2 linked regions of the Ovis aries genome follow. The protein of the gene in region 2 interacts with the protein of the main gene of each other region in a pairwise test. Links are inferred from orthologs where the notes say so. Each region holds a gene or a part of one and is shown on either strand. Other genes may lie near its edges. The genes, in order: CSDC2 and PPP2R1A.

Region 1 (4,410 bases), on a different chromosome or scaffold from region 2:
CCCTGGCAAGACTGGCTGCTTCGTGTCACCAGAGGCTCAGCTTAAACATCATCACTCCAGAGAGATCCTCCCTGACTACTTCCCTCTGCTGGCCCGTGATCCACCGTGCAGCCATCAGGACTCAAGGCTGGCCCAGCTCCGGACCTCTCTACTTCAGGTACCGCCTTTGGGACTTCCTGGTGGCCCTGCAGCAGGGACTCTGTGCTCCCTACGCGGGGCCGGGGATCGACCCTGGTCAGGGGGCCAGAGCCCACATGCCAACACCAAGACTCAGCACGACTAAATAAATACACAGATATTTTAAAAATATGTTTTAAAAAGTCACTGCCCTTGTGCCAGAGAAGTTCTCTTCCTGCAGTTCTGACCACATCATTTGTCCATTGACTCCTACGTCACACAACTCACTGGCTCGCCCTCAGTGCCTCTTGCTAGCCTCTTTTATTAGGTATTTGTATCTTTCTGGTCTCCCTTAAGACTCTCTGCTCCTTTTTATTTTAATAAGACTTCTTTGGAAAATGCCAGGCTGCGTCAGCTGTACTAAAGATATATGAAGGACCGACTTTCTTCTTTCCTGAGGAGAAGGGATGGGTAGGGGAACGAGGAGCCAGTCTTTGGGGGGGGCCTCCTCCAGCCAGGCTTGTACACAAGCTGCCCTGGAGCCTCCAACAGCCCTCTCAGCAAGGGCCTCCTTCTCTGCTTTCCAGAGCTCATGGGGGACCAGAGTCGTGAGAAGCTTGCCCAGGTCACCCAGCTTGGAAGCGCTAGGGCGGAGACTCATACCCAGGCCTTCCCAGGCTGTGGAGTCTGTGTGTGTGTGTGTGTGTGTGTGTGTGTGTGTGTAGCTACCTTTCACTCCCTTAGGGGCCTCTTCAATTCAGTTCAATCCAGCAGAAACAGCTCAGGGTCTGCCACGGGCTAGACAGAGGAAGACATGAGTTCTTGCGACTAGACTTGCCCACATGGGTTCACTGAGGAGGAGCCCAGAGCCAAGGGAGGAGGGAGCAGTGGAGGGCAGGAGCCACTCTGCCGAGGGGACAGAAAGGAGAGGGAGGCTGGCGAGTCCCTGGGGCCCTGCTGCGGCCTCCACTCTTCCAGACTCACCGTCCACCCCACAGCCTCCTGGCAGACACACAGACAAACACACACACACACTCACCACCCTCCTTGCTCTCTAACTGCCAGGAATGCAGGCTGTCCCCAAGCTCTTCCCCCTTGCATTCCTCAGCAGCTACTCCCACCTGGCAGGGCAAATTATACCCTGGCCTGGCAATAAAAGCCACTTTCCAGAAAAAGAAGCTTCGGGGCCCCCGAGAGACGCAGCTCACTCTCTCACATCGCCCGTGTCTGACTCAGGGGCCCGGTGTCCCTTTAAGCAGGGAGTACAAATTCCCACCCCGGTCCCTCCCTCCTGCTCTTCCTGACGTCAGGAGGAAGGCGTGTGTGAGTGAGTGAGGGGCCTGAGGTGCCGCATGCTCACACACACACACACACACACACACACACACACACACACGGAGTCAGACACAGAGCACATCTCTCAGACCCATCCCTGCTCATCAGCTCCAAGCACGCCAGAGAGAGGCCGAGTCTGAACGGCTGCGGGAGGCTGTGTGGGACCTCGGCCGTCAGAGAGAGGTAAGGGGCTAGACCCTGGGGCCTCAGGCGCTCCGGCCCTGGAAACTGGCTCTAACGATGGGGGGGCAGAGGGAGGTGCAATGGCGGGGGTGGGGTGCTCTGGGAAGGTGGGCCCCCTCCCCTGGGGCTGGCCCAGCCCAGTCCAGTTTACAGAGGAGAGGCAGGCATGTGTGAGCGTGGAAGAGCCCACCCGGCCATCCCGCCCCCCTCCCTTGCTCTGCCTGGCCCCCAGGGGAAGCTGAGGCTGCATGGTTCCCTGTGAAAGGGCGTGGGTATGTGTGTGTGTGTGTCTGGGACTTATGTCTGGCTCAAGAGGCAGAGAACAGCAGACACCTGCCAAGCTGTAGCCGCAGCCTCCTGTCTGGGAACCAGAGGGGAGAGAAATGACTGGAGAATAATTGGGTTTCTACCAGACGCTGAAAGCAGAGTGCATCAGGGAGCGACATGGATCGTTCCCCCTGGAATTTGGGGCTGGGGCCAGGGAGGGACCGTCAGGGGTGGTGGTGGGGGGGCGGGGTGGCCAGCAGACAGTTGGACCTGGAGCAGCTGTCTCATCCTGACTCTGTTTCTTCCGCGATGTGTTGGGGATAATTGGGCTAATTGGCTTGGAGAGGTGGCTCCACGCTTTTATTTCCCCCTTGGCCTTGGAGCCACCCCTACCAGGAGCTTTTGCTTCTCCCAAGGCCACTCCTCTCCCCTGCAGGCTGGTCTCGAGCTGACCTCCACCCTTGCCAGGGCGCAGCCCCTGGAGGGCAGGGGTGATCAGCCAGGGTCCACTGGATCCTGTGCCGTGGGATTCATGTACTCAGGCAGCCTTGGGTAGTAGTGCCAAGTCCCCAAGTGGCCTGACCCTGGCACAAGGAGTCCAGGCAGAGATAAGGGGTGATGCTGGCACCCACAAGGGAGACAGCAGGTTCCTGCCAATCTGCCAGCCTGCAGACTCTTCCCAGGGAGAGGGGAGGGGGCCGCGGGGAGCGAGAACAATAATAAATACAGACTGTGAACTGCCTCATCCGCTGGGGTTGGGGGAGGGGAGGAGGAAGTGCACCCGGGTAGAGGGTGGGCCACCTTTCCGAGAGCTCCAGGGGAGGCCTCTCCCTGGGAAGGGACTGTCTGCAGCCCCCTGGGGGATGAAGCGCCTTTCCTGCAGGCCTGGCTCTGTCTCAGAAGCCTCTGAGTCCACCAAATTCTGGGTATCTCCTCCCCTCAGCGTTTCCTTGAAGTCTTTTCCAAAAACATCTATTTCCCATATCTGCCCCGCCCCTCTGGGTCTGTCTGACCCTCCTCCAAAAACAAACAACAAAAAGAAAAGACAGGTGTAAGTAGGAACCAGCTCACAAGGGCCTGGGAGAGGCCAGAGGACAATCTTGGCCACAGAGGTTTCTCCCAGGGATGGGCAGTGGTCACGGAAGTCCACTGGCCGTGGGGGGAGCCTCCCTAGGAGGAACTCGGGGGTCCCACACTGCTGGCTGGTGAGGGAGGGAAACCCGCAGGCTGGTCTGGAGGCAAGCCCCCAGGAGTGGCACCAGCAGAGGGCGCTCAGGGCCTGGCCGAGCTGATCATATTGGTCACAACTAGCACGGCCAGGATCTGAAGCCTGGTGGGAAGAGGGCTCGGGGCAATTCAGACCTTTGTCCACGCAGACTATTAGGATGGGAGACAAGAAGCAACGGGGCGGGTCTTCCCCCCTGCCCCAAGCCAGCAAAATGATGGGCACCAGGATAAGTGGCCTGGCATTTGAGTTCAAGCTCAGCCACTCTTAAGTGTGACTTTGACCCGTCCATTCCTCTTTCCAAGGAGGGCTCAGAGTGGGAAAGCAACTTGCCCACGGTCATACAGCCCGGCGGGGCTGGGATGTGAGGGCTCTCTCATGGTGCCCATCCTGGCATCCATACCCTCACTAATGCCCACAAAGCCCAAAGGCCTTGATCATAGGAGCCCTCCAGGGCAACCTGGGGACATGACAAGGAGGAGAGTTAAAGGGTCTCAATTAAGCTCGAGTATTGGCTGGGGCAGTGCCCCCCCCCCCGTGCCTGCCCCGTACACACACGCGCACACACACATGCACACACACACACACACGCTGTGGGAGAGGGAAAGAACCAGGTTTAATTAGGTCACCTCCAGCTGCTCCAGTAGCTTTGGCACTGACGTATTTTAAGGAGTGTCTGAGAGGCTGGGAGAGGGCAGGGGCACTGGGGAAGAGCCAGCTTCTGCCTGGTGGGCTTGAGGCTGTCTCCTCGCCTTCCTCAGGCCCACCCTGGGTAAGCCCTCAAAGTCCGGAAAGCCCTTCTGCCATCACCCCGTGTTCCCTGTCCTTCCCCCTAAGCCATCAGACTCACGCCTCCCACTGTCTGTCCCTTCTCAGTGGGGGCTTGGGCTGGGATGCTTTTATGGAGGGTGTTGTTTTTAAGCTTGCCGTAGTCGGCAAGTGACTCACCCAAGGTCACGGTCTGAGTCAGCACAAAGCCAGGAATAGAACCCCAAGCCCCGCTCTTCCTTCTGCAGGGGCGGCGGGAGCTTGCAGGGACGCGCAGGTCCTCCCTCCCTCCCTCCTGCCTGAGGCCTCTGTCCCAGCCCCCCCAACCAGGATGCTAAAGTGCAGGCCCCAACTGGCTGTGTGACCCCAGCAAGACTCTTCACCTCTCTGGGCCTCAGTTTACTCCTCTGAAGAATGGGGTTATAATGATAATTACCTTGTAGGGCTGTTGTGAGGAATAAATGAGGAAAGGGGGCAAAGGGCTTGCACACCTCTTGGCACGTGGTTACTAATCC
Region 2 (3,642 bases):
GGCCATCAGGCCATCAGGCCACATTCCGGGGCTCAGCAGGGAGGCGGAGGCATTATTTCCCCGCTTAGGAACGCTTTCTAGAAGTTGCCCGTGCCACTTCTGTTCACATATTACTGGCCCGAATTTAGCTGCAATGCCACACCAAATTTCAAGAGACCCTGTGAAAATGCCTTGAATCCAGGCAGCCATGTGCCCAACTGAAAATACAGGTGTCTAATCAGTACTAAAGAAACAGAAGAAAAGACACTGAGAGAGAACCAGTGGTTCTGTCTAGCCACAGTCCCCAGCCTGCTCTGCCGCGGCCCTGATGATCCTGAGAGCTCCTGGCCCACTCTTCTCACGCGTCAATCACTGCCCACGCTGTGTGTATTACCTCGTTTAGTCTTCATTCCTGCCCCGCTCAATCTAGAGTCTGTTACCCCATTTTACAGTCCTGCAATCTGAGACTGGGCACCTACTCAAGGCCACACAGCTATTAATGGAAGGACAAGGATCTGGACGCAGGCAGTCTGGCACCAAGGCACCTGCTCTAACCACCACACACTCAGCCAGCCTCTGTGAAACCTAAGTGCACCTCAGGACTCCGCTGGCCCCTGGGGCCAGGGGCACTCCCATCGGCTTCCCAGGGAATCCTCCTCACTCGCAAGGACAGGGATGCGGCAAGTCCAGTCAGTCCTCGCCAGACAGAAGCGCAAGGCTGGGGCCCTGAGGTGGTGCCCCCTTCTCCATCTAGTGACTAAGACCAGAGGACCAGCTATTTCTAGACCTTTATTTCTCTGTGAAAAGGGGGGCAAGGGAATAAAATAAAAACAGCACAATTGACACAAAAAACCCACCGAGAGGAAGGGAGGGAGGTGGAGATGGGGGAGGGGTCCCCATACAGCAGCAGGAGCCGGCGACCTGGGATGCTCCCGCCTCACCCCAAAGGGCGGGAGTGGCCCCTTCCTCCCAGGGTCTCTGCTCTGTCCCACCTTGTGCGCCCCCAGCCCCGTGGGGGGGTGGATGTCCCAGGCTGAGGGAGGAACCGTGCCGGGGAAGGGACCTGGGGTCAGACCATGCACAGGGAGTGACAGCCAAAGGCCCCCACTGTCCCCCCAGGGAGGAGCCTGGAGGGGGAGGGCGGACACCGGAGGCTGGCGGTGGCTCCTCTTCCAGCATCAGGCAAGAGACAGAACTGGGGGAACAGGAAGAGACGGGAGTCAGAAGGCAGCCAGCCCGCTGCCCACAGCCGCTCCCAGGCCAAGCATCGCCCTCGCAGACCCCCACCCGCTCCTGCCAGCGTCTCGGATTCCTGACGCCTCACCAGTCAGAGCCTCCTGGGCAAAGTACTTGACGTCCACGTCCTGGTCCTGGGTCAGCTTCTCGAGGACGGGCTTGACCTCACTCTGCAGCGTGCTGGGAAGAGAGGGGAAAGGCGAGGGGTCAGAAAGGTGGGGCTGCTGGGTGTCTGCACAGACGCAGACACACAGGTGCACGAGAGCTCTCAGGGCCAGAGCAACCAGTACTTGGAAGGCTGAAAGTCTCACAAACCAGGACAGAGGCCTCGGGGGCCCAGAATAGGTATAGGGAGGTGAGGTGGTGTGGAAAGGTGGGGCAGAAAACCCAGAACCCTCAAGTCTCTGAGCCTCGGCCACGTGACGCCTTGTATTTGTGTAACATTATATACCGAGGCCTACTGCCCATCAGGTGTGGACACAGTGGAAAACCCAACCCTCCTGACTCTCACCCACACGGAGCCCAGACTGGGAGAAGGCAGATCAAATTGCTGACAAGTAACAGGAGAGGCGAGCACCTGAGGGAGGGACTCGGCCCTACAGGGGCCCAGGGAGGTAAGGGCCGAGGGAAATGCTTCTGCAGCGGCAGTCAGCTGTTTGGGGGACGAAGGCGGTCTTCAGAGAGAAGCTAAGGGGTGAAGCTGTGTCCTGGACAGACAGGTGCAGGCGTCCCAAGGCCCTTCCCCCAAAATAACCACCATTCTCACTTCCATCGCCTGCGTCCCCCTTGATCCATTTTTGAAGTTGATACAAATGCAATCGTGTGTGGAGGAGGGGCAGGCCTCACCTGTTGTCCAGGATGGGCCCGATCTTCTGCAGGGACTTGGCCACGTTGAAGCGGACATTGGCGACAGGGTCCCCGGCCATGCGCAGCACGGTGGGCAACATGTGCTTGGTGGTGATGTCCTGCCCGCAGACCTCGGACAGCACCTGCAGGCCAGGGAGCAGCAGAGGGTGACTCCCCAGAGTCCTCGCTCCCTCTGACCGGGACACTTAGTGGCCATCGGGCTTGGGGATAAAACTAGCTGAGCATCAGGGGGACTCTGAGCTCAGACTCGCCCAGCCTGAGGGCCTTGATTCTCCACAAGTTCCCAGGTTCCCTAACACCCTCTTCACTCCACCATCTCCCTGCCCTGAAAACCCCCAGCCCACACTGTCCCACCCCAGCTCCCTTCCTCAGAGTCTCCCTCATCCTCTGGGGATGGGACTGGATTCCTGACCCTGGGATCCCTTCCTTAGTGCTGTGGTCTCCAGAGTGATGCACAGGAAGGGATTACCGGAACAATTTTATGCTAACTTTTAAATCTCATTCTTTAATTTGTAGTTATGTGGTTTAAGTGGTTTTAAGTTTATTTAAGTGTATGGTTTATTTACGTGACTACATACAAGTACTTTCTACTGTATTTATCTATCAGTACTTTCTACTGTATTTATTTATCACACATTTACATATCACACACACAGCATACATATCACACACACAGCATACATATCACACACACAGCATACATATGCATCACATACACACCATACATTACATACCACACACACACAGCATACATATCACACACACACCATATATACACACAGCATACGTTACGTGTCACACACACACACCCCATACGTTATGTATTACATACACACTATACATATGCATATTACATACACACCATACATTACATATGAACCACTGTTCTAAGCTGTATAACCAGATCAATGTCACAGCCTCGGGAGTCTGGGGCTGTGATTGTTGGTATGAACCCTTTACAGGTGAGAAAACTGAGGCACTAAGTAATTTTCTCAAGGTGCACAGTCAATATGTGGCAGAGCTAGAATTAAACAGTAGGTCTGATTCTAGAAACTGTGCTTTAACCGTTGTATCATAAATATCACTTATTTTGTGAGGAAGGAGGGGGTGCTCAGACAGACCTGGCCATCACTGTTCTGTTGGCCAAATTTCCCCAGTCACCCCCACGCAGGTCCCCACCTGCAAAGGCCCTATACTCTGACCAGGGAGCCCCAAGTTCCAGCCTGCAGTTCCCCAAGGACTAACCCCTACGGCCCCAGATCCCATCACTTTCCTACTCCCAAGCCAGCTTTCCCCCGAGGACCTTCTCCATTCCTCCTCTCCCGTCTACTTCCCCTCCCCCAGGGAGAGGTGGGGGCCGGTGGGCGCTCACATTGATACAGAAGAGTGTGGTCATGCGGTGCAGGTAGTTGGGGTCCCCAGACATGGCCAAGACCTTGGGGATGATAGTTGCGTGGGCCCACTCCTTCCCGAACTTCTCCACCAGCTTCTTCAGGTTGCTGGTGGCCGCCTCGCGGATGGCATAGACTGTGGGAGGAGGAGGGGAGAGGGAGACTCAGG

What was found.
Region 1: the proteins of PPP2R1A (region 2) and CSDC2 interact in binary tests that used the Homo sapiens proteins (3 or more experiments, as listed by UniProt). The two-hybrid records come from large-scale screens. The link is inferred for Ovis aries from reciprocal best matches to the Homo sapiens genes PPP2R1A and CSDC2.

The regions. Positions count from the first base shown.
Region 1 is NC_056056.1:218,462,429-218,466,838, forward strand, and holds the start of CSDC2 (cold shock domain-containing protein C2), read left to right. Parts: upstream 1-1,539; 5' UTR 1,540-1,635; intron 1,636-4,410.
Region 2 is NC_056067.1:58,174,892-58,178,533, reverse strand, and holds the end of PPP2R1A (serine/threonine-protein phosphatase 2A 65 kDa regulatory subunit A alpha isoform), read right to left. Parts: intron 3,610-3,642; coding exon 3,455-3,609; intron 2,205-3,454; coding exon 2,062-2,204; intron 1,396-2,061; coding exon 1,304-1,395; intron 1,175-1,303; coding exon 1,158-1,174; 3' UTR 756-1,157; downstream 1-755. UniProt on the Homo sapiens protein: The PR65 subunit of protein phosphatase 2A serves as a scaffolding molecule to coordinate the assembly of the catalytic subunit and a variable regulatory B subunit.